Solanum lycopersicum: one gene and its partner. The protein of the gene in region 1 interacts with the protein of each later gene in a pairwise test. Links are inferred from orthologs where the notes say so. Each region holds a gene or a part of one and is shown in the gene's direction. Other genes may lie near its edges. The genes, in order: 4-coumarate--CoA ligase-like 1 and type III polyketide synthase B.

What was found.
Region 2: the proteins of 4-coumarate--CoA ligase-like 1 (region 1) and type III polyketide synthase B interact in binary tests that used the Arabidopsis thaliana proteins (3 or more experiments, as listed by UniProt). The link is inferred for Solanum lycopersicum from reciprocal best matches to the Arabidopsis thaliana genes ACOS5 and LAP5.

Annotation. Positions count from the first base shown.
Region 1 is NC_090801.1:67,012,193-67,028,983, forward strand, and holds 4-coumarate--CoA ligase-like 1, read left to right. Parts: upstream 1-9,406; 5' UTR 9,407-9,862; coding exon 9,863-10,294; intron 10,295-10,614; coding exon 10,615-11,214; intron 11,215-11,319; coding exon 11,320-11,506; intron 11,507-11,601; coding exon 11,602-11,747; intron 11,748-11,880; coding exon 11,881-11,948; intron 11,949-12,031; coding exon 12,032-12,260; 3' UTR 12,261-12,419; downstream 12,420-16,791. Other genes in the region: probable mitochondrial-processing peptidase subunit beta, mitochondrial, read left to right, coding at 4,205-4,870, 5,695-5,859, 5,985-6,122, 6,212-6,363, 6,459-6,567, 7,451-7,549, 7,641-7,706, 8,763-8,870 and 1 more; uncharacterized protein, read left to right, coding at 13,708-13,773, 15,279-15,344, 15,486-15,557. UniProt on the Arabidopsis thaliana protein: Carboxylate--CoA ligase that may use 4-coumarate as substrate.
Region 2 is NC_090800.1:93,555,368-93,572,328, forward strand, and holds type III polyketide synthase B, read left to right. Parts: upstream 1-8,626; 5' UTR 8,627-8,726; coding exon 8,727-8,904; intron 8,905-9,367; coding exon 9,368-9,959; intron 9,960-10,361; coding exon 10,362-10,743; 3' UTR 10,744-10,964; downstream 10,965-16,961. Other genes in the region: COBRA-like protein 1, read left to right, coding at 1-35, 144-391, 469-770; 5'-methylthioadenosine/S-adenosylhomocysteine nucleosidase, read left to right, coding at 1,765-1,987, 2,102-2,165, 3,238-3,329, 5,037-5,143, 5,384-5,458, 5,940-6,014, 6,894-6,986, 7,511-7,708; SN2 (snakin-2 precursor), read right to left, coding at 11,354-11,535, 11,743-11,788, 12,043-12,129. UniProt on the Arabidopsis thaliana protein: Plant type III polyketide synthases (PKSs) that catalyzes the condensation of malonyl-CoA units with various CoA ester starter molecules to generate a diverse array of natural products including long-chain alkyl alpha-pyrones.

The DNA of each region.
Region 1 (16,791 bases):
AAATATGAATAAAAATATCTGATACATATGAATATGCTGATCGAAGATAACAAATATCACGTAAAGTATAGTTATTAATCTAATATCACAAAAGGTACTATTGCCGTGATGATTTAAGTTGACTATTTAACACTAATTACGGGAAAAGTAAGCTTCAAATCAAAGAATGAGGTACTCGATCTACATGTGGTGTTGGTGGGTACATCTTGAAAAGGGGGAAATGGCCTTTGAGTGAAATGCAAGTTCACTCCCTAGTCCCAACGATACTATAATTTTGCAAATCAAACTCTTTGTCTGTTTACTTTTAAGTGTCGTGATTTTTTTTTGAGTTGAATTACAACAGTTTTAATTAAAGGGAAAAAAGTCTGATATATTCCTTAACTTTGTTATTTAGAGCTGATATACCTCTCGTTATAAAAATGTCTCACATATACCCTTCATTTAACGGAAACAAAAAAATCAGTTTTAAATTTCTATTTATTACTTCTATTTTTAAAAAAAAAATATTTAGGGTTATATATGATTCTTCTATCAAAGTTCAAAGTATATTTTAATTTTGTTCATACATAAATTATTTTTTGACTTCTTTTGTTATAATTATTTGAGTTTCTTATTCTTATTTTATTTTTTTCTTTCAAACTTCCTTAGTTCAAAGAGAAAAAAAAATTAAACTATTTTTTTTGTGTGTATTGTAATTTAATTTCATATTCGAAAAAAAAATTGAACATCTACAATAAGTTTTACAAGAATATTAGTGAAATATAAATAAATTTGATTATCAAAATAATAATTATAAATTAGCCATTGAAACAAAAAAAAAGTCAAAAAATATGTTTAACGAAGATTAAATTTACTCATATGAGATTATATTTTTTAGAAAAAATAATAAAAAATTAGATTAATCTTCTTTTTTTTTCATTTCCGTTAGAGGAAAAGGATATATGTGAGTCATTTCTTTACAAGTAGGGGTATATATGAGTCATTTTCATAACAGGGTATATCAGCTCTAAATGACAAAGTTGAGGCGTATATCAGACCCTTTTCCCTTAATTAAATATGATATAATATTTTTTTATCGTATTGATGTGCAAAACATTATAATTTATAGTAATTTTTTGTACAATTTTTAAATATCTAAATTTTTTGTTAGAGATATCAAATTAATGTAATTTAATTTAACTTACAAAATTAATCAAATTAATTTTTTTTAAAAATACAATATAATAACAAATAAAATAGAGGTAGGAGGGATAAAATTTGGTTTAAGTACCCACTTTCTAGACTACTTGTCAACGAAAGGTAATGCATTTGCACTTCTAATCATATTTGATTTTGACCTTTAATTTTTACCTAAAAGAACAAATTATTATTTTAAACATATATATATTTTTTTATATCACAATAATTCGTAAGTTTTTAACAATTTTTTAAAAAAAATCGAGTTTGAGCTAAAATCCAAAGTAAACATGATTAAAATTCTTGAACAATTCGTCAAAAATTGATCAAACTTTTAAAAGCCATCCAAGCGTCGACTTTTCGTGAATTAATGATCTTAACTCATCAAAAAAAATTCCCCAATTTCAAATGACAATAATAGAAGGAAAAAGAAACAAAAATAATGACTTCTAATCCAATCACCAAAGAGAACGTCATATAGAGGAAATTTTATAATATCAAAGAGATTAAATCTGCTTAGCTACGTTTGTTTAATTGTGTTTCATAATTTTAGTTTCATTTGTTATAAATATTTTTATTTGTCTAATTTTGTATTTACACATTTTGGATTTTTTCAGAAATTATACAAAATAAATGTATCAACAAATCATATAGAAACAAAATAAACAAATCGTATATAAATAATTAAGGTAAACATGTATAAATTTTAGATTTATATATTAGGAATTGAATTATACAAATTCTATATTTACACGATTAAATAATTAATTTATAAAAATTTTGAGTGTGGCCTATATAAATATGATTATAGATCAGTGACAAAAAATAATTTTTAAAATTATAATTATGTTAAATAATTAACTAATATATATTTGGATATTCGCTCAATTCTCATATTGAAGTAATGAAGCACAGTCATTGTTAGACATCAAATCACAATTAAATTGGGGTCAGTTAGGGTAAAGCACAACCAGGCCTTTCTCTCCTTTCTATCTTGACTCCAATATTTAGCCCAGCCCAGAAAACAGCAAAAGACTTAAAATACAAAAAGATAAAATAAGAGTAAATTTTAGGTTTAGCAAATATAAAAATTATATTAACGCTCTATAGTTATAGTTTTGCTATTTGGCCATTAAATTCATACAAATTGCAGATATGCATTTCGTTTGTATAAAAGCGCAACGATTGTATATGTATATCGACTAGACAATTATATATATGTAATTACTATATATATGTACCAATGATTCTGTTTGTATATGTACATAAAATTTGAATTTGTATACAATTGATCTGAAATAAAACATTCTTATCACAAATCTCTCTCTTGCTCGTATTATACAACACAAATTATACATTGTAATTTGTATAATTCGTGTTTGTATATATGAGAAAGATAAAGGAGAAACTGGTACGCGAAGATTTGTATTTGTATAATTATAAGTGTATAAGACGAAAATATATATATTTGTATATATTGTTTTCTGTCGCTTTATACAAACAGAATTTATACATTTGCATTTGTATAAATAAAGTGAGAGAGGCGAGTTAGAGTGGCGAGCGAGATTTCTGGGGAGAGACGCGAATGACAAGTGTTGGTACGGATTATAATTAAATTAAACTGTGGTTGTAACATTTGATTTAAATTATAAGGTTGCTATTTTATACATTTTCTCATAGATTGACAGATGGATAGGGAGGGAATAGGCAAGCGAGAGAGGGACAGAAAGAAGAGAGAGGCAAAATGTATTAGCATATTTAATATATAATTATATATATGTAACAAGTATGTGTATGTATCAATTATTGCATTTATACATTTGTTGGATGATTATGTATATATAATTAGTATGCATATATATCAATGAATAAAACTATATTAATGCATAAAGTTTGTATCCGAATATAATTTATATCAATGAAAATTGTATCAGCGTTGTATTATCAAGTCCGACATTTGTATAATTATTGTTATCATTTGTATTAATTGTATTAACTAATACAATCTACATCAATTAATAAATTGAATCAATATTATATCAAGTTCATCATTTGTTTCTGTATAATTGATTATTTTCATTTGTATCAATGTCGTATCATCAAATTCACTGAAAGAAAGATATATATAATCAACACTCATTATTTTCCTCCAATACCAACTACTAAATGAAAATGTCTCTGATTATATTGTCTCAGTAAATCATGACATATCAGGATATTATGCACCATAGACCTTCCTTGCACAAAAGCAGCTAATTAAAAGATATCATCACATAATCACCCAATCACGTAATTTTTCCGCGTAATCAATATTTTATAGTCTTATGATATTGGTATGATTCTTCTTTGTGGGAAACTTACATAAATATGTTATAATAAAAAAATATTTATCATTTATATGTAATAATATTTTTTTTTCACTTGATCCCTTTTAATTCAATTATATTACAAGTTTAATATATATAAACAATTTATTATTCACATTTAATACAAATTTTAATAATGAATAATACATTTATCACATATTTTAGTACAATTATAATACGATGTGACAATTTTTTACCAAATAAACATGATATATTTTAAAAAAATAATTAAAATTCATATATATTGTATACATAATTCACTTTTAATACATATTATAGATTCAATACAGCATTGCTATAAATGTTAATAAACAAAAGATATCACTAAATCGGTAATTATTTTTTATAATGTATTAATTTATGTAATTTTTCCGTTCTTATTTGTAGGCGTGTGGATTTAATTTCATAGTCTAATTTCGTTGGATATGTTGGGCTAATTCAAGAGATTCTAATGGGCCTAATAACGGATCAATATTTTTGGGAAGTCCATAAAAAAAAAAAAAAAAGCAACTATTTCATCCCCGAAACAAGTACGACGTCGTTTGTAAGCTTTCTTAGTCGACCAGAGCGTGCTTCTTGATTTTCTTGAGCTTCGTTCCCATTTCCCTCTTTCTCTGTATAGGAACCACAACAAACCCTAGCCTAATTTACAAGCCATAGCCATGACGATCCGGCAGCTCTTAACCCTAGCCCGCCGGTCCCGAAACCTATCCTCATCCCATTCACTGCGGCGTCTTTCTTCGGCGTCTGCCGCCGTCGCCGCCACATCCTCCTCCGCCCCGGCCATCGGTCCGCCACCCCCAGATGCAATGATCTACGATCGATTGGCTGAAGACGTTAAACGAAAGATCAAGAGACTCGAGAATCCTGATTCCCGATTCCTTCAGTACAACTCGCCACACCCAACTTTAGCCGACCACACATCAATCCTCAGCTTCCCCTCTACGCGCGTGACTACACTACCATCGGGCCTGCGTGTGGCCACGGAGACTAATCTCGCTGTCAAGACTGCCACCGTTGGGGTATTCATTGATGCAGGGTCAAGGTTTGAGACCGATGAGACTAATGGAACAGCTCATTTTCTTGAGCATATGATCTTTAAGGGTACTGAAAAGAGGACTTCTTGGGAAATGGAGGAGGAGATTGAGAATATGGGTGGACATTTGAATGCATATACTTCCAGGGAGCAAACAGCATACTATGCTAAAGTGTTGGATAATGACGTCCCTGTAGCTTTGGATATTTTGGCTGATATACTTCAGAATTCTAAGTTCGAAGAGAAAAAGATTGAACGTGAACGTGATGTCATCCTCAGGGAGATGGAGGAGGTGCACTTTTTTTCTCTATTCTTTGATCTCTGAATATCAAGTTTGCTGTTTTTTCGATCTTTGTCAATGAGCTGCAATAACCCTACGTTATATTCTACTAGTCTCTGCATGCACTTGAAGCTTAACTAGTAAGCTGGTCACTAAAAACTAATTGGCATATTCATGTCAATTGACTAGTTTTACACTGACCGCCAACCTTGCAACCCTCATTACCCTCACGTAGGGTAAGAACTTGCTCTAACCCCAGTTCTGAAATTCAAGATCACTTGCGTTCTTGTTGAGTTCCCTGGATGCTAACAGGTTTTAACTTTACTGTTTCTTCGTTTTTCTTTTACTTCCATTTAAAATTACCTCTAGCTTCTTCAGTTTTATGAAAGTATACAGTCCATAGTATTTGAGTACTGTTGCAGAGAACTTTCAAAAGTAAATCTAATTGTATTATTTAGATTCAAAGAAATATCTGAATCCAATGAAACATAGGTAGATGTTGAAATGGTTTACTGATTAATATCCTAAGATTTTATTGAGGATTATTGTGCTTCAGGGAGTTGCCCTTGTTGATACAATGTAGTATTAAGTACTAACCGCTATGTATCCTCATTATTTGAGAGATTAAGAGCCATAATGAAGGAAATGAAATGGCCGTGCATTAAGTTTGTGATTGACCTTACAAAGAGAAGACGTTCCTCTCTAGAGAAACAGAAGAGAGGGAACTCCACACAATCCAAAAAGTTACTCCTGTAGTGAGCTTATGAAACCTATCATGCTGCCTGTATCATATACAATCTGAAAATTAGCAATCCATTATAACTATCTGTTTGCAGGTCGAAGGTCAAACAGAGGAAGTCATCTTTGACCACTTGCATTCAACTGCATTCCAGTACTCACCTTTGGGTAGGACTATTCTTGGACCTGCCCAGAATATAAAGACAATCACCAGAAGTCATCTGAAGGACTACATATCAACACATTATACCGCTCCCAGAATGGTATTTAGAAATGATTTCATCTTCTTTTTCTTAGTCTGTCTTGCTTGTTAGCTCAAACTTGATTCTTCAAGTATTATCATAATCTGCTGTATTAACTCTAGCCTTTCCCGTGGACATTAAAATAGGTAATTGTTGCTTCTGGGCCTGTTAAACATGAAGAATTTGTTGAGCAAGTTAAGAAACAGTTTACTAAACTTTCAACCAATCCGAGTACGGCCTCAGAATTGGTTGCCAGAGAACCAGCAATTTTTACAGGTTCAGAGGTATGCCTATCTTATCAGGGTTCGTTACGCCTTCACGGTGCTTTTTTCAGTAGAATAAGTTCTTATGCTGATCATTTTACCAAAATCAGGTTAGGGTAATTGATGATGACATTCCATTGGCACAATTTGCTGTTGCTTTTCAAGGGGCACCGTGGACTGATCCAGATGCCATTCCACTGATGGTAATGCAATCCATGCTGGGCACTTGGAATAAAAATGCCGGAGGAGGGAAACACATGGGGTGAGTGTATCACTAGTTCTTTTACAATTTATGTCATCGCAAGCATGTCAATGGATCTGTCTCATGTTTTTATGGGACTTCCTAATCATTTGCAGCTCCGATCTGGCACAAAGTGTTGGCATTAATGAACTTGCTGAGAGCATGATGTCTTTTAACACCAACTATAAGGATACTGGTTTGTTCGGCGTGTATGCTGTTGCAAAGGTACAAATCTTTAACACCTAGAGTTCCTTCTACTGGAGAGAATGTAGTATGATGATGCATTACCTTATTTTCTTGCATTTTCTTCCATCAAATAAAATTTGTTTTGTTTTTCTTTTTTAATGTGTGTGTGTGTGTGAGAGAGAGAGAGAGAGAGACAGAGATAGATAGATAGAGAGAGAGAGAGAGTCTGAGAGGGGTGGATCTGTTGGTTAGCTGAACAGCTGCTATAAATGCAAGCTCTTGCTCGGCTGATTGGAGTATTAGAGTTTGATGTAAAGGTTTTAATGCACCACATCTTCTATCGTGGGGTTTATGTAAAATGTACGTTTTATCCTTCAGCTTGTTTTTGTTTTCATTATGATTAAAATGTAGTCTAGATTCTTGAATATGCTTAAAAAGTATTCTAAGTGTTTATTGGTTGTATATTGAATGCGGAGTGAAGTAGTTCTTTTTCAATGTCATCTACTGCTCATGTTTTGGATAGATGTAGTTCATATATTATTAGACAAGGTGTTACTCATCTGCTTGGATTTTTTGAGATATTGTGGTTAGTGTAAACTGAGTAATTTTATTTATTTGTTCTTAAAAGAAGCAGATCTTTTCTCTAATGACCAAAAAAAGACGGTTAGGTGTTGGTATTGTGACCCTTTTGACTGGCATGTGGTTGTAAATAATTCTACTATATATTAGGCAAGGTAGTTCTTATCTTCTTGGATTTTTTGAGATAATTTGGTTAGTAAAGTGAGCAATTTTTTTATTTGTTCTTAAAAGAAACATTTTTTTTCTCTAAAGACAAAATTAATATGATTAGGTGTTGTATTACCATCCTTTTTATGGTTGTGAATAATCCTTGTTTTATCTTAAATGAATTCTTAATGTGCAGCCTGATTGTTTGAGTGATTTGTCCTACTGCATTATGCGCGAGATAAGCAAATTGTGCTACCGGGTTTCGGATGCTGATGTGACTCGTGCTTGCAACCAGGTTTGTGTTACTTAATGTTAAACAGTCTGGCTAGTTGTTATTACTCCTTGCTGTTTTTCTTTGTTTCTCTCTAACCAATATCGGTTTGCAGTTGAAGTCTTCTCTCATGCTACACATTGATGGAACTAGTCCTGTTGCTGAAGACATTGGGCGTCAGGTACTATTCTGATATCCGATTCTGTGGTTGTACACATGTGTTTTGTCATGATTGTAATTAGTATTTTCTCATTAAGTTTATTCCTTGTAATTTCGGGGAGAAGTGGTGGGATTGGGTGGTATCATAGATAAGACGCTGCAAATGTAACTTAATTCCTTCTCTCACGGTATTAGTTTCCAGAAGAATGTTCTGGACACCTACATATATGTGCATAAAAGGGACACTGAACTGCTTCATGTACTTGAATCATTCCATGACCATAAACATTCTGAAGTAGAAGCTATAATAGTATCGAAGAGGATATTTTAGGAACTTTGTTACTCTTGGAGCAGTTTTAGTTAAACCGTGCCTAAGCCTACTAATGGCACTTCCCTACCCTAGATGATGACGATAGTTTGGTCCATTATTGCATATAGATTCTGAATTTCAAGATTTCACGATGCCTGAATAATCCTCTTCACCACTATAACAGCTTCTACTACCAATATTACTGCAACTAAATATAAACACGTGTTAGCCATATCAGCAGCAATTCACTGACACATTCCGTATTTGGTTCATTAAGTTCATTTTTGTTAGAGGTAGTGTAACTTGGTGGTGCAGTACAACATCAAGTAGCAGCCTAATTATGCATGCTTAATGTCTGAATAGATTAGAACAAAATGAATGCTGAAAGGTGTTGCTGCCAGCTGGTTGGTAAAAATAGCCCTTAACAGACCTTATAAGAAGAAAAATTGGAAAACAAAAAAGAACAGCTCTTAAACCGCAGTACCTTTGCTCATGTTGAGTTAAGAAAAAACTCTAATGTGAAGAGCCAAATGATCAAAGTTTTGCTGACAAGTTTTGAGTGTGTCATCAAGTATTTGTGTTTTTGCATGTCAAGCGTACTGCAACATCTGCTTGTAAGTGGAGAACATAGGTTGATAGCCCCCCCCTCCCCCCCTCCCCCCCTCTCCCTCCTTTCCAATATGTGGAAAAATTGTATTTTATGTAAGCTTGACTTCGTTAGGATGGGATCCAGTGATTATTTGTAAACTAAGATCATCCTGCTTGCAGCTACTCACATATGGCAGAAGGATTCCAGCTACAGAGCTGTTTGCAAGGGTTGATGCTGTGGATGCTAGCACCATCAAACGAGTTGCAAACAGATTTATCTTTGACCAGGTAGGATTCAAAAATATTTGAGACATGGGAGTTCATTGCTATGAAACAATCTTGTTCACTCAACTTTCCTTTATCTTATTTTCTGAGTTTAAACCAAAATTTTCTTCCTTCTGGCAGGATGTTGCTATATCCGCGCTGGGGCCTATCCAGACACTACCTGATTATAACTGGTTCAGACGCAGAACCTACATGCTCCGTTATTAGACGATTCTTTTTTTTCTTTTTTTGGAGTTGTAATGCATCACAATTACACACCTCGCTCGACCATTCCAAACTTGGACATATAGGTCTTACTTTTCCAATTCTTCCTCTTGCCTACTTTCTGGTTTTGTAACGGTTTTGTAGCTTTTCCCTATAAAATAAGCGGCCTATATTTAATAATTTGGTTGTTGACGTTTGTTTTCATATTCTTTGAAAAAAATTGTACTCGTACATGCAAATTAACATGGTTTACCCTGTACTTTTTATATGAAATCAAGAATGCTATGGACCTCATTCAAAAATTGTCTTGAATCTCTTCTTGGTATTCAATGCAGTAAATTTCAAACTTAATGAGGTTGAATTATCTATGGTAGCCTTGCCAAAGCTGTTTTCAGTTCGACGTTCTGGTTGTTGGTACGTTAAGTAATTGAAGTTCACAAAGCAAATTCTGGACCAGTGTAAATACGAACCGAATGCGTGCAAGTGAGACGCACACAGCTAATCGGAGAATAAGTTTTTAGAAATTGTTATTCTGGCAATGGGATTGAATTAGTGCAGATGAGTTAAGGCAAGATGAGTTATAGGAAAAATAACTTGTGCATGATACACGTCAGGCAGAATGGAATGATTCAACAAATTCTTACTTATCACCAAAATAAGAAAAGGCTTCTTCTAACCTGCACGTATGCTCATTTCATATTCGTGATGCTACTACTACTTAGTACTTACCAAGGTAACATGATTCACCTATAAATTAGCTTGAGGAGTTGAGACAAGGCATATTCCTGGCAATGGAAACTCATGTTGTAGAATGCTCACAAAAGCAAGAGGAAGATGAACACATTTTCCGAAGTAGATATCCTCCAGTCCATGTACCAGACAATGTGACTCTCCCAGAATTTGTACTTCATAATGTAGAGTTATACGCTGACAGACTGGCTTTTGTGGATGCTACCACGGGCAAAGGCTACACATATGGCGAAGTTGAAAGAGACATAAGGAGGTTTGCCAAGGCCTTGAGGTCCCTTGGCTTAAGAAAAGGAAGGGTTGTGTTGGTAGTGCTTCCAAATGTACCGGAATATGCTATTGTTGCTCTTGGAATCATGGCTGCTGGTGGTGTCTTTTCAGGTGCAAATCCAGCAGCTCATTCATCCGAAATTATGAAACAAGTTGAATCTGCTGATGGCAAGCTTATTGTCTCTGATCTACCCACCTATCACAAGGTACGTAAGCTTCCAACTTATCAGTGGATTATGTAGAATTTTGCCTTACAGTGTCTGCACATTATCTATGATTTGTGTATGGGGTTACAGAGGTTTTAAGGCTTTACTTCTTGTTCAATCGATGTTTATTATATACACACGGGCACGTACTTGTTTAAGAAATTTGAGATGACACCTCTTGTAGAAGAGTGTCTTCAGATGGCTCATTAGGACCAAACTTCTTGTACTTGTTACTCGTATTGGTCCAACTAAAACTTGCATTCTACTATGATGGAAAACAAGATGCTTTCATTTTCCACCTAAAGTAATGGGAATTGCAGGTGAAAGATTGTGGATTGCCAGTAATAATACTAGGCGAAGAACGTGCAGAAGGGACGATTCATTGGGATGAATTGCTCGAAGCTGCAGATCGTGCCAGTTCCAGAACTGATCACATAACAAACCAAGAAGATGAAATTGTGCAACAAAGTGATCTATGTGCACTGCCCTTTTCATCAGGCACGACAGGACTATCCAAGGGAGTGATGTTAACTCACAGAAACCTAGTAGCAAACCTCTGCTCTACACTCTTTAGTATTAGTCCAGAAATGATAGGTCAAGTTACAATACTAGGTCTGATACCATTCTTTCACATTTATGGTATAACTGGAATCTGTTGTGCAACCATTAGGAACAAAGGGAAAGTGGTTGTCATGCGTAGGTACGAACTGAGGGCATTTCTAAATGCACTCATCATACATGAAGTCTCATTTGCACCTATCGTGCCACCTATCATCTTAGCACTTGTTAAGAATCCGATCGTTGATGAATTTGATCTCAAAAAGCTTAAGCTTAGATCCATCATGACAGCAGCTGCTCCACTTGCCCCTGAGATTCTTAATGAATTTGAGAAGAAATTTCCGGATGTTCAGGTCCAAGAGGTGAACATCCACTAGAAACTTATAATGGTCCTTCTCATGTCAACGAATTATTCAGTCCAAAATGTTGTTTTTGACAAGTTCTGTTCTGGCTTATTCAACTGCTAGGCATATGGGATGACTGAGCACAGCTGCATTACTCTTTCCCACAGCAATCAGCACATCGCTAAAAGAAATTCCGTTGGTTTTATTCTGCCTAATTTGGAGGTAAAGTTCGTTGATCCTGATACTGGTAGATCTCTCCCCAAGAACACACCAGGGGAGATATGTGTCAAAAGCCAATGTGTTATGAAGGGTAACTCACTATAACTCTTCCTTTTATACAACCTTTTGTTCTTGCAGGGATTGGTAGATATATGGAACTTAGCTCTTTGATGCGAAAATTTTCAGGTTACTACAAAAATGAATCCGAGACTAGCCTTACAATTGATACGGATGGGTGGCTCCACACCGGTGACATTGGCTACATTGATGATGACGGGGATATCTTTCTCGTTGATCGTATCAAAGAGCTTATCAAGTACAAGGGATTCCAAGTAAAAAGATCACTAAACTTGCTAAGTTGAACCTGTTTTTATTTTTATAACTTACAACTTGACTTAATTCACTAAGTTGAATCAAGAATTCTGTTTTTACCTTTGTCTGTGGACCTCTTTGCTGGTTTAACAGGTTGCACCAGCTGAATTAGAGGGGATCCTTCTCACACATCCTTCAGTGGAAGATACTGCAGTAGTTGGGTGAGTAAAATCAGTTAGCTGATTTCAGTTTTAAAATGGAAAAACTGTAACGAATAACAGATGTATATTCTCTACAACTCTAGGCTACCAGATGAAGAAGCAGGAGAGATACCAGCAGCATGGGTAGTATTGAACTCAAAAGCAAAAGAAAGCCATGAGGACATCATCAGCTACGTTGCATCAACCGTTGCACAGTATAAACGAGTGAGACTGGTGCAGTTTGTGGATAGTATTCCGAAATCTCCTTCTGGTAAAATAATGAGAAGACTTATCAAGGAAAAGATGCTAGAAAGACTTAAAGAGGGAACATAGTGATGTTACAAATACAAAAAGCAGTGTACAACTTACTCCAAAAGAACAATAAAAACACAATGGTGTTATTTTCATATTCAAATATGAGATCTAATCATAGATTGTAAAAGACATTATTGGATTAAACCAAATTAAAGATGCTTCCTTTTTATGTTTGCATGCAGGTTGTGTTTGACATATATAATATCAATATCAACAACTATACTCAATCCCGAATTAATTTATTCAACAAACTAACTGTAAATATACATGCATAAAAACAACAAAAAAAAAGTGATGAAGTGTTATATTTTTAATAAATATTTAAAGAACCCAAGTATCATATAATCTCGTGCGGTGATGAGTGGATGCACCTAGAAATTTGAATCTTTTATTTATCTTGTTTTTATTTATTTCTAAAATTGTGTAACACCTCTCTAAACGGTGGATCAATAAAAGATAATTTTGGACTATAATTTTAAATTTTAATGGTTTTTAGTGATAAGAACCTAAATGTTAAGTTGATCAAATTTATATCTTGAATTCACCTTTTCATAATAATCCATCATCATCTCAAAATCTTGAATGTGTCTTTGCTTCGCAAATATGAAACATCACACATGTAATTCAATCTCTCAGAGGTAAGACATTAGGAACGGTGCTCCTAATGTCAAAACACTAGGTGATTCTTTTAATTGTTTTAGTCTTAGTGGAAATAGTTTACAAGTATTTATAAATAGTTTACGAGTACTTATTGCTGGCAAAAGGTATCTCGTAAAATTAATCGAGCTTGCATTTTTTGTTTTATTTTTGTAATTGCAACATAATTCCTTACTGCCATTTAGCTTTGTTGAGGGACTAAAATAGCATATTAGATATAGATAAAGGTCATATATGCTCTGCAGAATAATATAAAGAGTAAAAGGCAATAATTTGAGGGCTAAAAGCACTATTTTCCCCAACTTCTGCATAGAAAAATAGTACGATGATATGCAGGGAAAACTGAACTCCGAAACGACAACTGATTTGAGGGCTTAGGGTTCCGACCGAATCACTCTCGGATTGAGAATTCATTGGAGACTTCATTTTTTCAGGTAATTAATTTGTTATAAAAACAATTCATATAATTAGAGTGGATAAAAGTTAGATTGTTTTTCCAGAAAAGTTGGAATGCCATACATTTGTTTGGCCAAAGTAAAACTGAGAATTTTGATGCAAATCATTGAATTGCTGACAAAAAAGCAGCCTTAGTATAGCTCATCACTGGTAGAACCCTAAAAGAGCTGAACACGCAGTCTCTTTTCGTTCACTGGGCGGGGCGAGTTTATATATTAGTTCACTGAAGTTGTGATTTCTTTTTCGATATCTTGAATAATAAAGGGTGTTGAATGATGTGTATTCACATACGCAATGTGGGTTTTCACCTTTAATGGGCTGTTCTTGTTTTTCTGGCTTAGCAGAACAGGAAATGAAAGGGACAGAGATTTTTGTTGGTGGTTTGGCCCGTACTACTACTGAAAGCAAAATTCACGAGGTTTGTTTCGGATTTATGTTACGTGATCTATTTGGTTCCTCAAGTTTATTTTTTTCATTTTTATATTTTTGGTTCAAGTTTGTTTTTTCTACGTTGAGCTTGTTTTGATTTTCTTTTTTTTGTGGATAAAACAAGTAAGTATTATTAACTGTGTGAGCAGTTGCTGAGAGTTACAAAAAGTGCTTAAAGGATGTTCCGAAGAACAAATATGATATCTACATTGTTAACAATTTCAACTTATCAACAATATCATTTTAAAGTTTTATGATACCAAAAACAAGGTCAGTTAAACACTTATGCATCAGTATATGACTAGGGTAAGTTTCACAATCAAAACACTTACCAGTGCTTCACTCGGCAGAGTCCACATGATTCATGTTGGGGTTGTAAACAAAATCTTGTGTGGAGTTTCTTGTGTGTTCCTACCAGCTGCATGGAGATGGTTATATCCAGAGTCCTTCACATTACTCGATGGACCCTAATTAGAATTTTTTTTTTACAGAATGATCTCATAACTCCCTCGCTTCCTTAAAATGTGAAAGAGATGATTAGCATCATCGATATCCTTTTCATACATATAACACTGATCTAATGGGATAAAACAGTCTCATTCTCTTGTTGTCTTTGAGTGAGATAAACATCATATACAAAGTCCAACTAAAGCATGTGACTTTGGGTGGAGCTTTACCTTGCGCAACAGTTACCCAGGCCATTCACTGGATGCCTTCAGCAGATTATGATAGTACTAGACTACTAGTTAAGTATAGCATTGCTTTGCACGTATGTTGCGTTAATTAATAACAAATGTATATAAAAAGAATAAGTTGTTGTGTGTATATTATGACATTGAGTACAATTTTTTCTTAAAAACAATAATGTAAAGCTGTGCGAATGTTGTAATATTTTAGGTTAAGTCTCCTATTGACTTGAAGGATTGAAGTTAGGCTAGATTGATTGTTCAATCAAAGGTATAAATTCACTGAATTCTAAGGATGAGTAGTTTTCTGCTGTCTTTGAGGGCTTAGTTGGGTCATTTTTTGAACAGACCATACTTCTTTTGAGGCAAGTAGTGTTTATCCCTTATTATGGTAATTGACGCAACCAATTGCTCCTTTTTGATCCTTATATCATAAATTGTTATTCTCATGAACTATATTACAAAATGGATATTATTTTAACTTCTATGTAATAATAATCAATTTTGTTCTTAAATAAACTATATGATATAGTTGTTTGTCAGCTTTATTCCTCTCTCTTGGGGTTGAATTGTTAAACGTAGTTATGCCCTTTTTTGTGGTAGATCAGTTTACCTATTCACATTCTGCACTTGTGAATTTATTTTTCTTGACTCTATTTTAATCTTTAAAAAACTAACAGAACACCCCTCGGCCAAAACCTATGATTAGAGCTGGACTTCTTATCGTCAATGATTTGTAACTATTTTATATCATCACATTGTATTTGTGTCAGATTATGTGTATATATAAAACATCTGCATTTTACAGGTATTTTCTTCATGCGGTGAGATTGTGGAAATAAGGTTGATAAAAGACCAGATAGGCAATGCCAAGGTAGTCAGTATGATCTGTTTATTTGTATTACCTCTTGTTTTCATGCTTTGCCATCCCTTAAAAAAAAAGCTAAAAAAGAGACATTAGAAAAAAACACGGTTTAGATGCTAATATTGCAGTGCTCATTTGTTATGACTACAGGGGTTCTGCTTTGTACGATTTGCAACAAAATATGCTGCTGACAAAGCTCTGAAGGAAAAATCTGGATATGTGGTAAAAGGCTAACAAAGATGCATTATTTCACTGTCTTGATAAACCATTACATTATTATTGGTTATTGCGATGGATTTTGCTTTTGTGATGCTGTTATTATTCATGAATGTACATAAGAACGACCACTTACTTGGATAAGCATTAGTGTATAATTCCTAGCCGAGACTTTTACTTGATGGCTTACATCTATTTGCAAAGGTTTGCCTTCTTTTAATTCAAGAATGTGTTCCTATAAAATAATGTTAAGAAAACAATCCGACTTACTCAGAATATTGATTTTTCCCCAGAATAAAAGATTGTCTGTATAACATTTTGACACTTTAACACTTTTAACTCAACACTTGAATATTTTTCTTCATGAAGAGCTTGAACTGCACATCTTGCTTTCTTGAAAGCTCTGAATTTGTATAAATGCTGGGATTTGTTCCACCAATGGGAGCAATTGATCAGTTCCTTGTTTTTTGCCCTTTTCCCGTTTTACTTTCTTTTTTCCATTCTTTGAATAGCTACAGATACCTAATTTGGTATTTGTTCAACTATGCACGTCTTTGTATTGTTGGGTTATCTCCTTACTTAATTATGAGCATTCACTAGATTATATGTTGTATTTTATAACATAGTCATGGACCATAGATCTACTAATAGTTCCTTGGATCCAGATAGTAAGCCCCTAAAATCAGGTGGGGCGCTATGTAGATCTTAACAGGCAACAAAAGGTTGGTTGGTGCATTAAACTACCTTTCTGTTAACACATCAAGCTCTTCTTTTGGTAACGATCGTAGTTTGTCAATTCATGCTCTGCTAGCACTGATCATCGGGATGCTGTTGTATGAACTATAAAATACTTAGTAAAGTACCAAGCTAAATGTTACTATACAAAGATGGAAGGAAATTCTCAAGATATAGGATACTTTGACTCAAATTGGGTTGATTCTCCTATTGATCAACTATTTATGTTTGGATACTATGTCTTTTGTGGTGGTGACTCTGTATTATGGAACAGTAGGAATCATAACATTTGTTTTATCACATGATTCCAATAAGATAGAATTGTAAACTTACTTAGTTAATGCAAGTGAAATCTAGAAAGGTGACGTATAAAAAGGAACGGCGAGAGTATTATTTATCTGACTCATATTGGCCATTTCAAATTTTTCTTTTGATGACCGAGAAATCCCTGAGGGCCAGTTGCTCACGGTTTGAAAGTTGGTGACTGGATAAGACTACTTCTCTC
Region 2 (16,961 bases), on another chromosome or scaffold:
AAATTAGCTGACAATGAGGCAAAATCATGCATTGGGTTGGTAACTAAGCAAAACAGCTTTTTTTATAGGATGAAATACTTCAATTTTGCCCATTTTGCAAAGAGTGCTGATTTTGTTGTGGTTTATATATATGTGTGGAACAGGCAAAGATCATCAGGACCATATGTTCGCGAGCTAATTCAGTGTACTGATCATATGTGTCCCCTTCGGGTTCACTGGCATATTAAGAAGAACTACATGAATTATTGGAGAGTGAAACTCACTGTTTCCAATTACAACTTAGGCAAAAACTATTCCAATTGGAATTTGGTAGTCCAACATCCTGGTTTTAGCCAGCAGACAACTGTCTTCAGCTTCAACAGTACAATGCTCTCTACCGTTGGTGTCCCAGGTATTTGCTCTACATTAAAGTCGCGCTACAGATGTAGATGATAGTATAATAAAAAATAATTATCGATGTTGATGCAGATGAAGTTGCACTGTTTTGGGGTCTAGACTTGTACAACGATGCTTTGTTGCAAGCTGAAGAGAAGCAAATGGGATCTGTGACTACAGAAATACTTTTACTTAAGGACATGAACTCATTTACACTTAGAAATGGATGGGCATTTCCAAGGAGAATATATTTCAATGGTGAGAACTGTGAAATGCCTCTTCCACAGAGTTTCCCTATGCTTCCAAATGGTTGCTCAAGGGAAAAACCTTGTAATAGCTATCTTTCTATGCTACTACTGTCGATATATTTGACTTACAAGACACTTAATTTCTGATCCTAAATCAAGATTATTCATCTTCCACCTCATGAGAATCAACTTTATTGATCCTATTCGATATGCTGAAGGTGAGAAATCATCAATAATGCAGCTTCCTGGGCTTAAAAGACGAAACTCTAGTGATGAAGAGTCATTTCATTTTTTGGCGCATCAGTACATTCCAAAAATATGGACCATGTTAACATTATTGGTTTGAGACCTTTGGCATATGATTAACTTGTACATGCTTCCTCACAATTGTATGCAAGCATACAAATGAGAATAACATTGCTTTGTAATTAATAACTTCCGGAAGTTGTGAAAAATATAGCATAAGGTAGAGTGATTTCAAGCGTTTTATAATATTCAAGAGTTAAACAAAAATGTGGCATGAATCAAGACGAATGATGTATTTTTCTTATTTTATCCGAAATATTTTGTATAGATAATATAAATTATAAGAAATATGCACAAGTACTTCCTAAATTATTACCAAAATTTCAGAGACACACCTTAATTAAACTAAGGTCCTATTACCACCTGAACTTGTTTTTTTTTGTAATTTTATACACCTTTTGTGGCACATCCGTGACTCTACACAATTAAGGCGCGTGAGAGATATTTGAATGTCATGTAAGTTAAAAAAGTGCACAAAATTACAAAAAAGAATAAGTTCGGAATAATAGGACCTTAGATTAATTAAGATATATCTCTAAAATATTAATCATAATCTAAGGGATACTTGTATATTTTCCTTAAATTATAAGTATAAACCTTTTAATTATTTTCATTTCTTTCAAAAGATTCTTTCACATTTATCGAAAGTTATAAATGAGTATTGAAGAGAAAGTCTAATATATCCTTTGTTATAAAAGTAATTTCTACGGATCTAAACTTTTAAAAGTTACGACCACATGAGTGCGTGAGTGTGAACCACAAAGTTGGGGGTATATTAGGAATAGTCAAATGCCTAATTTATTGGATTTTGGGTCGGGTCGGGTCGGTGCGACATATGGGCGGTTTAACAACATTATCAATCAAGAGCTCTCCAATAATAGACCGTACAAGTTACCACTTCGATTCTCAATTTCTCAATCGAAAAAAGTTTTCAAAGGAATTACCTGTAAAAATGGCTCCTCCTCACGGCGATAAGTCAGCAGAAGTCAAGGAGGAGGCCGCCGCCGCCGTTTCCTCAGTCGATAACCGCCCTATTTCCACCATCCTCTTCATCGTTGGTACTTCTTTTTTCTTTTCAAAAAGAACTTTGTTTGTTTGTTTCTTACTTGTGATTGCTCCGTTTATTAAGAAATCGTGTTGACGGTAAAAAAAAATTATTTGTGAATCTTCAGCTATGCAAACAGAGGCGTTACCTCTTGTTAAGAAGTTCCAGCTTACCGAGGACCTCAATTCCGTGTAAGCTCCATCTGTTCTTATTTTGAGGCTTTTGCTACTCAGAATTGAAGAGATTATATGAAAAATCACAACTGAAAAAGTTACAAATTCTCTCCTTTTTGCTTTCCCGCTTACTTTTCGGATATTAATTCTCTTGTACCGAAAGATCAAGAATAAGAGACTAAGTTTAGTTGTGAGTCTGGAAATACCTTTTTCCTTTTTGAAATATAAGCTACATATATAAATAAATCACAATTTCATAGCTAAAATATTCATTAAAAATGTTGAAATATGTAAGCCAAGGTAAAAAGAATTTGACTTTTTCTTTCGAAATAGAATGATGAGTCTTCGAGATGACCAAAATACACATGTGAAGATAACCAGAAACTAGTGGTAGAAGAAATGAAAGAGTAGTTATTAGACAAGTTTTGAGGCGGTAAATATTATAGATGCTAGAGCTCTATGTATATTTTTTATGACAACAAATGTTGCAGTGTTTACCTGTTGAATCATATGGACGTGGTATGAGGTTGCTTGTTAAACAAACTAGCAAGATTATGATGTGTTGCATATGTATTGATTCACCCGGCCCATTTTATGAGACACCCTTTCCTTTTTAGTCCGTTCAAAAAAGAATGTCACCTTATTATACTTATAAACAATGTAACTTTTGAATTTCCCTTATAATACTAATGAAATGATTTACACACACACAAATATCTAAGGATTGTTTGAGATTACAAGTTTCAAAAGTCTTCCTTTTCTTCTTAAACACCGTGTCTAGTCAAACGGCACCATAAAATGGGATGGAGGGGGTAATACTTATTCAAACTGAAAATATTTTGAGGATGATTCACATGATTTAGAAAAAAGAATGATATCCTATTCGAAAATGAATTGTGTAAGAGTTGTTGCCTTGTTGGATTCTTTCAAAAGACCTGGGAATTTTATTATAATGATGACCAGGAACCTCTAAATTTTCCACATGCTCAATATAGTTTGTAATTATTTATGCAGTAGATTTTTACGATGCTTGGTGGTTTGTTCTGCTGTCTCTTCTTGGATCTAATATCTGATGATGTGCCCAATGCAGGTTCCCAAAGGGAGTCCCTTGGGTGCGGTTCTATGGTAATTACAAGGGTCTCACCGTTAATATTGTTTGTCCTGGGAAAGACCCAGCATTGGGTAGGGTATTTTGATCTTGGCAATTTTTACTTTGCTGATTACATCTTATGAACGTGGCGCTTATATAACCAATGCACGAGCATATTGTTTCCACATTTGAGATAGAAAATTATATTATAGTAACAATCCTTCTTTCCCTTCGAGGTATTAGCATATTGTGTATTGCCTCATTTAGTGGTAGGATAAAGTTTCACCAACCAGTTCTTCAAATGGGAAGTTTTATGTGGACTCTCTCATTTTCTTCGTGGGGTATGTCTCCTATTAGTCCAATCATTAAGTACATTGAAGTATATAGAAAATGTCCATCTCTATAGATACATCTTTTTTCTATAAAAAAAAAATGGGGGGGGGGGGGTTGATGTAAGGAAAGTTGTATTATTCACAAACTCAGCACTGTGGGATTGTTGTGAACTACAAAACAGGCTAGGTTATCCCTATTCCCTGTTAGGGTGGTACTAATGTAGGGTGCCTGAAATCCAAAAACTCACATAACTTCACAAACTGAAAATATACCCAAGAACTGAAGCATTTAAGCAAATTATAAAAAGCCCTCAATCTATGAAGAGGATTATATTTTGCTTCAATGAAACTAGTTATTCTCTCCTTCAAATAGTCCAAACAGTAAACAGTGATACTGAACCTGTAGACCTTTTTTTCCTGCATCACTTAGTAGGCCTATCATACACGGTTTGGTGTCTAAGCTAGCTTACGGTTTGTGCCCATATCAGTTCAACTTAGGACCTGGTAGCTCTCACAAGCACATGGACTAGATCACTCTGCCATTGGAAAAAATTACACAAACGTATTTTTGATCTCAAGTGGGATTTGAGCCTAGTTTTCCATTATTTTTGTCCGCTTCACTGACTGCTTGGCCACGCCTTGGATGATGCCACAACTCAAAAGTATCCAAAATCATTAATTATCTTCCTTGCTATTCCATGATGCAAAAATTGAGTTGTTAAAAATCTTCACTATCCATCAGACTTGAATGGTATCTACACTGATGAAGCCCCAGAAAGGTGTGGTTAGCAACTTAGCTTCTTCACTATCCAAACACCGCAGTTATGAAAAAAAGACTTGATTCATGCATAGTAGTCCATCCAAAACAGGTTACTTTTGTAAGGGCCCTATTCTTCCACGGTCATACCTTATCAGCTCTGCTAGAGTGTATCATATTTGGTACATGCTGTAACTGTAAAATACCTTTTTTACCCAACCTGCTTCACAGCACCCTTCCTCCAGTGTTTTCAGTAATGAAATCTGTCTTTTAAACTTCTAACAATTTCTCTAAAGGTGATATTCGAACTCCATTGCCTTTGTGTTGGGTTATGGTGGCTTCTACATGTGCGGTGAAGATCTGGAAATTCATCCTTGAGAGGCATGTGGCTTAGCTAGTTATCCTGGGTCAAAGGATGAATTGCATTTTCAAGATCAAGGCTGTAATTTAGAGTTAATGAGTACATATATATGGGTGTGCCCATTTGCAGAGGAACGTAGCCAGTAGTCTTAGAGCCTGGTCTTCTACTCTTGAAACCTTCCTCTTGCTTGAAGGAAAATAACTTTGCCAAAGCACTAAAGTATCTGATGCTCTAAATAGTTTGATGTTTTCTCTTGCAGTGTGTGTCCTCGTATACCTCAAATATCTTATATGCATCAAATCTAGTGGTCTAAAGTTTGTCAAACTAACTTATGAATGGTCTAACACAGGGGTTGATGGTGTGGGCACGGTTTCTGCATCTCTTGTGACATATGCTTCTGTCCAAGCATTAAAGCCAGACCTCATCATAAATGCTGGCACAGCAGGTGGATTTGGGGTATGATTTGTGTTTTTAGATTCTGATATAATCTTCCTTTTCCTCTTTCCCTGTTATTTCTCTCATCTCTCTTATTGAGCGCTAGTAAGATAAATTGTTAGAGGAAAAGCGACAACCTTGTTGGAACAGGAAGATATTGGGACAGATTAATTGAAAATTTTGTTCCTGTTATTCCTCCATGTTGAGCAAACATAAATTTTTCTTTGGTTATGTTATTTTTGACGCGTTAACTTATTTCAGGCCAAAGGTGCTTCAATAGGAGATGTTTTTATTTCATCAGAAGTTGCTTTCCATGACAGAAGAATACCAATCCCGGTAATATCCATTTTCCATCCACGCATTATGTCTTTTGAATTCTATTGTTGTTAAGAACCACATAGAATGTGGGAAACTGGATCAAAGCTGACACTAGGTTGACAAACCATTTGCCTCTATACCTCATAACCAGAGATCACAATTCCTATTATTGTTGTGGCTAAACTTCTACATTTTACATCATTTCCAGTTTATTTACTGGACTTGGTGCTTCAACTGTTTTAAGGACATTGTGATCAATAATCTAGTGAAAGAAGTCCTTGGTTATAAAGTTATCATTCTCAAAAAAAAAAAGAAGTCCCTGGTTATTTACTGCAAACCTCAAATTTTTTGATTCACCTACGTTATGATTTGGAAAGTTTTTTTGCTAATTTTATGGGCAGCTAAGCTGTAGGTCTTTGGGTGCATGATTTGGATTATTTTTTGCTAATTTTATGGGCAGCTAAGCTGAAGGTCTTTGGGTGCACTCATATATGTGTAGGTATTTGATATATATGGAGTTGGTTCGCGGAAGGCTTTTGCTACACCCAATCTTCTGAAGGAGCTTAACTTGAAGGTAAATATTGTTCAACTGTGCATAAAAAAGAACCAACTTTAATTAGCTCATGGCTCACCTGCTTTGATATCTATTCTTGTCTATGGCTGCTGAATGTACTTCTCTAGATTGTGGTTTTAGCTTCTTCGTCATTGACATTTTGTGGATTCAGATTGTCCTTTCATTATCATTTTGTCAAGTTGGATTTGGGCATCTGTGTCATTTTCCAAACTAATTTTGGTTGGTTATATGAAATCCTAACATCCATTCCTCTCCAATTTGATTTATATGAAATCTTCTTTTCTCGGATTGGTGGGTGATTATCTTAATGTGAATGATGGTGCTGATGTTATATCAGATACGATCTTCTACTATATAAGTACGTGTTTCTATAGTCCACTTTGTGCCAGTACCTGTACACTATCTGCTATTTTCTTTCTGAAAAATGATACTCAAGTATAGACAATCTTAATAGGTCCTACCAACTTAAGATGTGGTCTTTTTGAGAATGAGAAGTAACATAGATGTGGTAACTTTTAACATAGTGATCTCTACAAGTTTAACATGTACCTAAAGGATATATTTTAGCAATATCTGTAATTAGGTGATTTTGGATGCTCGTGAGTTGGCATGTGAAAATGGGATTCTCTCGAAAGAGTGTAGTAATGATCTAGATGTTACGATGTGCTTGAGAACCATGTAAGACTTACATGCCTTTTTTGTCAAACTTGTTAATGTTCATGTATATACTTTCTTCCACAATAACATCTGATTGTTTCCTGCCTAGCTTATAGTGCCCATGTACTTGGAAAGTCATTAGGTATATTTAATAGCAAAAAGCTTTCCTGATTAAAAAAGACATTGAATTAATTTGTCATGTAATTTATCTCCTCATTACAGGTAGGCAAGCTGTCTACTGGTGACTCTCTAGATATGTCTCCAATGGATGAAGCATCTATCATTGCAAATGACGCAACAATCAAAGACATGGAGGTAACATCTAAATGTCTAAGTTTAGTATGATTGCTTTTGTGAAGACTTGGAGAAATTAGTCCGCTGGTCATTCTGTAGTCCCCTGTAGAGATTGGTCAAATAGTGTTATTCTGGCCATCAACATGTCTTTCCTGGTTGTCCTTGAGCTCCACATACTTCGTCGATTAGATAAACTCTTGTTGTCTAAGATATATTTTTTTTTTTTTTGAGAAAGATTGTCGTCTAAGATATTTAATATCTCAAAGTTGACCTTTTCAATAATAAAAAATAACTTGTTCCCTCCCAGGCATGTTTGATGCTAGTGCTAGGCATGATATTTGGAAACCTAATTCAAGACTGAAATTGTGCCAAGTTTTCAATGTAGCTTCCGTCTTTCCCCTCTAATTCAAGACTGCAATTGTGCCAAGTGTTCAATGTACTTCTGTTTTGTTTCCTAATCACTGTGCTCATTTAGCCTTGCTCTTTCTTGTTAGGATATACATTTTCACTCCTTTTTCTGTTCCAATTTGTTTTTTGGGTTTTAGGGAGCAGCCGTAGCTTATGTGGCAGATCTGTTAAAAGTTCCTGCCATTTTTGTGAAAGCTGTGACAGACATTGTGGATGGTGATAAACCAACACCGGAAGAATTTTTGGAAAATCTGGTGGCAGTAACCGCTGCACTTGATCAAACTGCCACCCAAGTTGTTGATTACATCAGTGGGAAGTGCTTAGTGGAGCTGTGATCTAATCTTATTTCATCTCGTGCATGCTTCAGTGGAAAGAACCTATGACATTTGTGTCTAGGCAATTATTAGACTTCTGGGCAGTGAGAATGTTACTTCCTTCGAACTGCATTATACTAAGTCACCAGTGACTCTAATTTTTATTATATTATGGTAAATTAGTGTATCAAGATGTCACTCTGAAATTTAATGTTGGTTCGATATGTCCACTTTCGTCCAGGTGTACAATTCATCGGCCCACATTGTTCCAGCTAGTTTCTCTAAACATAGCTGATATTCTGTAATCGTTGTAAAACTAATGAATGAGTTATAAGATTTATGGAAATTTTAGTCAGGGAAGAAAGCGGTGTTCCTATATACTAGTTGGGAAATTATCTGCAAAGCACTTGAACAACGTTTAAGTTCCTTTGAGGTTCAAAGTTTACAACCTCCATTTGCTCTTTCCTATTGATCATGAGATTGTTTAATTTTTTTAGTTAAATACATTGATTTTAATTGTCGACTTTCGTATCGCAATTAATGATGTTGTATCATTATTAGTGGCTTAGTAATTGTTTCAAGAGCGGGTGAGCTATGAGTAGGGCAAAAGTTCCAACTCATAAAAGAGCCTAGACTGCACATTACGTGAGGGAATTATTTGTGTCTATTTGTTCTTGCAGTAACAGATTCATTCTGCTCAAGGTTGTATCTTGAACTTCTTCTAACCAGAATGCCACCAACCACGTATCAAGATTCAACATTACTAAATTGAGATAGAACTTGTGGACTGTCAAAATCATGAACATCTTGTTCCTCAACTAATCCCCAAAAACTCAATAGTCAACAATATTTGAGCCCCTCTACAGTTTGATGATACATCTAAAACCGCTTAAATTATCTAACATAAACTATTCAATACCTGTTATAAATAGAAAGTTGTGCAACTTCAAAGTGGCAAGTATTGAGTAACATAAAACTATTTAGTACGTGTTATAAACACAAAGTTATATCCACCTTCAAAGGATCAAGTAGTGAGTAAATGGGGATATTAGAGAAAATGGAAGGAAGGAATGAAATCAACTTTGGAAACGCCACCATTCTTGCTCTGGGCAAAGCTTTCCCTCATCAGCTTGTTATGCAAGAGTTTTTGGTTGATGGCTATTTCAAAAACACCAACTGTGATGATCCAGAACTCAAGCAGAGGCTCACTCGACTCTGTAATCTTTTCCTTTCTTTCACTCTTTTAACCGTAAACATCTATTTAGCAGCTGTAAGGTGCTGATAGCATGATTGTTTTCTCGTTATATTATCTTGGGTAATCCTCTTCTCGTGAGCTAGCTTTTGAGGTTCATTTTCTTAACAATGACATCAGAGTCAGACTCATGAGTAATTCATGCTTCTTGTTGAGATTAAGTTACAAGTCCAATGCCCTTTGATTGAGAGAATGTGTTGATGTCTCGTATCAAACAATTTTTATCTCATGATTAAAATTTTGATATTAACTTACAAGTCTAATGCCCATTTTTTGCGTCTTCCAGCTACCTGCCTAAACATAGTTCATATATTTTATAGATACTTTATGTTCATGAATAACTAGTTAGTGCAATATTTTTTTGGATCCTGAATTTGCCTCTTGAGCGGATTTAATTATCTTGTTCTTCGTTTCCTTTAACTTTGCAGGCAAGACGACTACAGTGAAAACGCGGTACGTGGTAATGTCAGAGGAGATCCTAAAGAAATATCCTGAACTAGCAGTTGAAGGACTTCCAACAGTAAAACAAAGATTAGACATATGCAATGCAGCAGTTACAGAAATGGCAATTGAAGCCTCACAATCTTGTATTAAGAAATGGGGAAGGCCAATTTCAGACATTACACATGTAGTCTATGTTTCTTCAAGTGAAGCTAGATTACCAGGAGGAGATCTTTACTTAGCCAAAGGACTTGGTTTAAACCCGGAAACTAAACGTGTTATGCTGTATTTTGCTGGTTGTTCTGGTGGTGTGGCGGGCCTTCGTGTTGCTAAGGACATTGCTGAGAATAATCCAGGAAGCAGAGTCCTGTTAGCTACTTCAGAGACTACTATAATTGGGTTCAAACCACCTAGTGTTGATAGGCCATATGATTTAGTTGGTGTTGCTCTTTTTGGTGATGGTGCTGGAGCTATGATAATCGGATCTAACCCGATTCGAGATATCGAAAGACCTCTTTTTGAATTGCATACTGCTATTCAGCATTTCTTGCCTGATACAGAAAAGATCATTGATGGCAGGTATAGCGAGTATATTTTTAGTTCTGAGAAACCAATGTTATAACCTGTTAAATTAAGTCTTACACTTAACTCATGCCCCAAAAGTTAGCTCATAGAGAAGAGAATTATCCAAGCTTTACACCCATCTCATTAATCATGTGAGATTTTTGTCATTCTTTAACACCCCATCTCACTCCCAGTGCTCAGTATCTGGTGCGTGGACAATTTTGATTTTGGAGATCTCAACATCAAGTGAGACGAGCTCTGCTCTGATAAATTTGTTAAATTAAGTCATAGGCCTAACTTATGGCCCCAAAAACTAACTAGCTTATAGGGAGGAGGATTGTCCAAGCCTCAGTCAAGCCTGTTTAAACTTAGACAAATTACTTTAATAGATTAATTTAGCCACCTCTAAATTTGCAGGCTTACTGAAGAGGGAATTAGCTTCAAGCTAGAAAGGGAACTACCTCAGATAATTGAAGATAATATTGAGGATTTCTGTGACAAGTTAATAAATATTTCTGGAATCAAAGATAGAGAATACAACAAATTGTTTTGGGCAGTTCATCCAGGTGGTCCTGCTATTTTAAACAGGCTAGAGAAAAAGCTAGATTTGTCTCCTGATAAATTGAGTGCTAGTAGAAGAGCTTTGGCAGATTATGGTAATGCAAGTAGCAATACAATTGTGTATGTGCTGGAATACATGTTGGAGGAGAAAAAAGACATCACTGATTGGGGATTGATTCTCGCATTTGGCCCTGGGATTACCTTTGAGGGTATTCTTACAAAGAATCTCACTATTTGAATCGTGCGTCACTGATCTTTGAAAATTTTTCGACAAAATAAACGAAAAAGAGTCTCATCATTCGAATATGTTAAAAGAGTACTCGATGCAAGTCCAATTGTTGAACTTTTTTTTTTTGGTGTTTACTATATTCCTTCTGGTTCAATTTGTTTTATAATTTTCATTTACTGATGTATTCAATACCACAGGTAACATGATGTTATAAAAGTTCTTTTAAACCATTCGTGTCTAGAAGTATATTAGAAGCAATGCGATAGTATGAAAAATAATGAGCTGCGAATGAGACAAATAATCTTTATTTAATTCCGTACTATAAAACTTAACATCCAAGAATAAAACACATATAAAATAATATACTCAAACTTCATTTATTCCTCATCTTATTATACAATACAATGCAAACCAGAATAAATATTACACCAGATGTACTAATCAACACACAAATAAAATTTCCTCAAAATTACAAAGACAACACCCCAAAAAATAAATTACCCACGCTAAAGATATTTTACTGGATTTTGATTATTGACACAATATATGACAAAATAATACACTACAATAATAACATATCCGTGGTAATCACACGATATACGATATTTTTAGAAGAAATTTAAGGGCATTTACGTTTGTTGCCATGAGTAGTCAAACTGGCATAGCAAGGGCAAGTCTCAGTGTTGCCAGAAGTACCAGGAGGAACACAGTTGCATCTAGCACAACAAGTTCCACATGCCCTATGACACAATCTTGGCCTTGATGATAATCGGCACCTTGCTGCACAAGCTCCCCCACAGTCTGTACGTAAACAACATATATATGAGAAATTAATAATTAGTTATATATGCTCGAATTTCGCTTAAGGATGTTCGAGGTTTAATATATAAGAAGCGTATTATTTATAATTGATACATGACATAGGGGAATAGATATTTATAAATTGAAAAAGGTGACAAAATGTTGTATGGCATTCTAGCGGGAGAGTAATAAGAAATTAGAAAATACCAATTTTCTTGTAGGAATCAGCGCCTTCAGAAATAGCATTGCTGCTCTGCAAAAGTCAAACATATATCACCAGTGAATAAATTAATCTTGAAAAATTAAGGAATATGATTAAATTTTTCTATATATACTTAGATAGTCGACTAATTTTTTTTCATGTAGTAAAGAAAACGTTTGAAACATAATTTTATGATGAAACACTAATCCAAATTATAATCTTTTTGACTGTTTATTACGAGTTCAAAATATATCTAGGATAAATATAATTTTTGTGTAAGCTAAGGAATAAATAAAATAACTCACCACTTGATCAGTCTGAATAGATTGGACTTGCTCGAGAAGGAGCAAGGAGAGAAGTAATGAAGCAAAGAGAGCTTTAGAAATGGCCATTGGAATTTGAAATATTTTTGAGATTTTTTCTCCAAAAAATTGATTTATGAAAATTGATTAGTAAATGGGGTATTTATAGTGGGGGGAAATAGTGGTAATGTATAGAATCATGTATATGAAGACAAATAGAATAGAAAAACACACTTGGCAAAAAGAATATTTTTTTAAAAAAAAAAAAATATATATATATATATACTATACAAGTAGGTTTCATGCATGCGATTTTTTTTTCGTACGTGATGCTTAATACTGTAGTAGGTTAATGGGGTATATGTTAGGTTATAAAGCCTGATTAATATTTGATATACTGACATATATTAATGTTTACGCGGTTTAAATTTTAGATTGTACTGTTTATTCTGTATTTATTCTCTGTAACTGTTCATACTCTGAATTATTAATATATATATCTCACCACTGTAAAAGTTTATTCACGAAGTGTTACCACAAACTATTGGTTTCTCTCTCTAGATTTTTCATCTCTCTCGAAAACTCATGTATTCTTCATTTATCAAGTGTGTGTGAATTCGATCCTAACAGTATACTATTAAATCGAGAAAAGGAATTTAATTAATTACTTGATAAAATATCTAACAGCTTAATCATGGAGTCTGGAATGATTAGTACATTTTTCAAAGTGTATATAAGTGCTGTGGTAGGTGTACATAGCTAACACAAAGTCTACAAAGCTACATTAATTAAAACAAGTTGGTTCCTAATTATATTATCCTTGGCCAAAAGAGAACTTAAGATTCTATCTAACAAATAATTCAAAGTACCATTCATGTATATCTCTTTAAAACACTCTTTTTCATCTTAATTACTCTACCTCTCTCTGTCAATTTACCTGATATTATTTAAAATTACACTTTTTTTATCTTAATTACTCTACCTCTCTCTGTCAATTTACCTGATATTATTTAAAAAATTTAAGAGCCAGATTGTTAATTTTTTTTAATCATGAATTATTTTAGAAATAAAATTTATATATTTAAAAATTATTTTACAAAATATTATAAATCATAATACTCTAACACATTAGAAAAAACTTTTGAATCACATAAATCGAGATAAAAATTCAGTTTATGATAAATACTGTTATCCCTCGATAAAAAGTTCAACTACTTATATATATATTGGCATAGTCAAATACTGTCAAATTGGACACTTTTTGTCGGAAAAAATTAGCATATATACAAGTAAAATGACATACAAAATGATTAAATAACCTATTTTAGAAACTTTTAACATAACAAGTTGTTATTATTGGACACCCTTTCAGAAATTTCTAATTCCGCCACAATATATATATATATATTCAAGTTAAAGATAATAAGAAGCTCATTTCTTACTCGACCCCATTTGTTTTCATAATTACCTTTCATAAATGTTGATTTTTCGAAGATTTTTTATGCTTGGAAATTGAATTTTCCAGTGAAACATACCTTTTTAAAAAGTACTAGAAATAACACATAAATACGTATCCTAAAAAAAATAAAATTATTTGACTTTATACCAACCAAGAAACTATTTAAACTTGAGAAAATTTCAAAAACGTCCAACTTTAAAAAGAAAATCAATCTCTTTTAACTAATATTTTTCTATTTCAATAGTTATTGTTTAATGTGCTATTTCATTCATTAAATATATTTCACTTCTAAAATTTGTAATATATACAAATAAGTTTAGGTGATATACATGCATGATCGACACAATTTTTTTAAAATTAAAGGTTTTTTGACGAATCATGCACATTATCTTTTGTCCTAATCATCTTTAATCGATAAGACTCTTCAAGCTTTAAACTTCATTGTTAAACCACAATATGTAAAATTTATGATTCAAAATTCACAAATCAGTTCCAATATAAGTTAAGGTACAGTGTTTATTTTTTTTAAAAAAAATAAACAATAAATCCCAATCATTCACGAGGAGTCAATTAATACTTCTGAGTCAGAAATTATCCACTATGAATAAGTTAAAAACAATAAAATATTACTAGTATATTATGCATTGAATCTCGTTGACTATTTTGTGTATTTACTTTTTTTTTTTAAATATATATTTTAATTTATATCTTAACTGACTCCACTATTTATACTAGGAAAAAAAAGGGTATCTATCTTAATCTTTAGCACACAGCTAATAAAGCTATAATATGACCACAAAAGAGTTCCATTTTAATAAGAAAACGCGTATGGACCAGTAGTTGAAGTTTATCAAGTTAAAAAGCATTAATGTTGTATATGTGACAATTATTTAGGATTTTGGAAATTGTGCCATCACAAAAACTTGCAAAGTTGCATATGAGAAAAAAAGATAAGATCATGATTTTTCAAGTCAAAAGCAAACAGCATTCAACAACCATGGTACGATATTAAAAAATTTGAACTTTAATTTTATCCAATTCAAATTTTACTAGTGCGATTGTATCAAATATTTTGTTATTCAAAAAAATACATATATCATTATCATATCAAATAAATTCAATACATTTAATGACTGACAAGATAAATAAGTAAACATTTTAATCATATCATAATACTTTTTCTGTCCCTATTTACTTGTTTATATTTTCTTTTATATTTATTTCTATTTATTTGTCTATTTTAACAAATCAAGGAAGGACAATAATTTTTTTTTCTAATATGTCTTTATTTAATTCTAGAAAATTTTTAGTACTACTAAGTTGTAATGCATGTTTTTTGGAACTAGAAAAATACATTTATTATACTTGGAGAGCTGCATAATCTTTTAAAATAACATAAAATTGTAACTAACATATGATAATAATTGGTGCCGTGTCACTTCTAATGTGGACAATTAAATAGGGACAGAGAGATTATCAGTTAAGTAGGTAGAAATTTTTTTAACAAAAAAGTACAAACAATCATTTTCATTAATAAATTATACAAATATTTCAATCAGATAAAATAATCAAAATTTTAACGTTTAAGTAATTGATTTCGTATTAATACTAGTTTATTATTAATAATAATAATATGTAGTATATAAATGATATATACTTTATTAGAGTACTATATTTGTAGCATAACAACAACAATAATGAATGCTACTTCCTTTTTTTGTGGTGTAATGTGATTACTGTGAATGAGTTAAGCCCAACAGCTAGCATCTTGTGTGCATTACAGCTGTTTGTATTCTGGAGCTCTCCTTTTCCTTTCTGTACAAATATTTATATTCCATTTTAATTTGAAACTTCTGGACGCACTTATAACAAAAAATCATAGCAACCCAACAAAATGAAATAAAAAGGAAAAAGGACAACAATGAAAATGAAATTTTTATTTTTTACTTCAATAATACTCTGCTGTCACTTTCATCTTCACATCCCACATTTTAAACCATATACGATCAGGCAACTTTTTAATGATGTTACCGCACAATGGTAATTAAATAGTACTGCTAGTACAAGATATGGATCCAGACTTGTGTATGTTGTTAGTTATTATAATAATAATAATAACTTACGTAAATATATTATAATATATAAGTATTTACTATTTATAGCAATAATATTTTTTTTTCACTTGATCAATTTTAAATCATTTATAATACAAGTTTAATTTATATTACAAAGAATAATTTTTTATTCATATATAATACAAATTTTAATGATAGATAATTCATTTATCAGACATTTTAATATACTTTTGATACAATGTGTCAAATTTTTACCAAACAATTATAATATATTTTATAAAATAATTATAATTCAAATATATTGTATGTATAATTCACTTTTAATACATATTGCAAATTTAATATAATATTGCTATAAATGGTAATATATAAAAAGTATTGCTAAAATCAATAATTATTTTTCAAATATATCAATTTATGTAAAAAAAATTAATAATAATAACATATTCAATTCATTCCCACGAATAATGGTAAAGGGTATGTCGTTGTTCAAGAAAAAAAACTTGGCAAATCAACTTTCTCATCGATACAATATATTTAAAATGATTTTCTTCTGTTTTAAAAGCACTGCGGTATCATTTTTTAAAATATCATAAAACAATAATCTGTTCAGTTGGCAGCTATGTAACTTGATTATCCTCCCTTATTTTTTAGCTTTAGAAGGAAATGACAAAGATAAAGCAAAAGCTGCTTACCTAATCAAATGACTCTGAATTAGTGGAAATATATCTGAAAATAGGTTACATACTCAAGGGTAGAGCCAATGTCCAAAGACACATTTGGTTAAAAAGAAGTTCGGTCAGGAAACAGGCAATGTGGCAGAGGTAGGAATACCAAAATCTAAACAGTCGTGAAGCTAGGGGCGCAAAGGGTTCATCCTCTTAACGTCTTTCATATGTTCGCATTTAGGTTTCATTAGTTGTACTTTTATGCAAAAGGACAGTCTCTACGCTTAAAAAAAAGGGGTAGGAGTAAGATGTACATAAACCCTACACTCCCCTTCATCCACATACAAATTTACATTGTTGAAAATTTCTCAACAAATGCAGATCAAAAGAAATGGACGTTCTGTGGTGGAAGTGAAATGATGATCTGTTGTTGCAGATTTCACTCAGAAAACTTGTGTTACGAGTTCATCCCACTATGACAGAAACGAGTAAGTGTATGTCCCTTGTTACATGACCCTACTGAAAGGGAAAGGGCGAGGGGAGGAGTACATTCAGGAAAAGTTATGTCAGAAATCATTTATCATTCATTGTACATTAGTACATGAGTACAAAAATGAGTACATATCCAAAAGCCATATGTTAGTGCTACCTGCTAAACAAAGTAAAATAGTCTATCATAGCAAGAAAATCTACTGCTTATATAATTAAGATAGTGCTAAC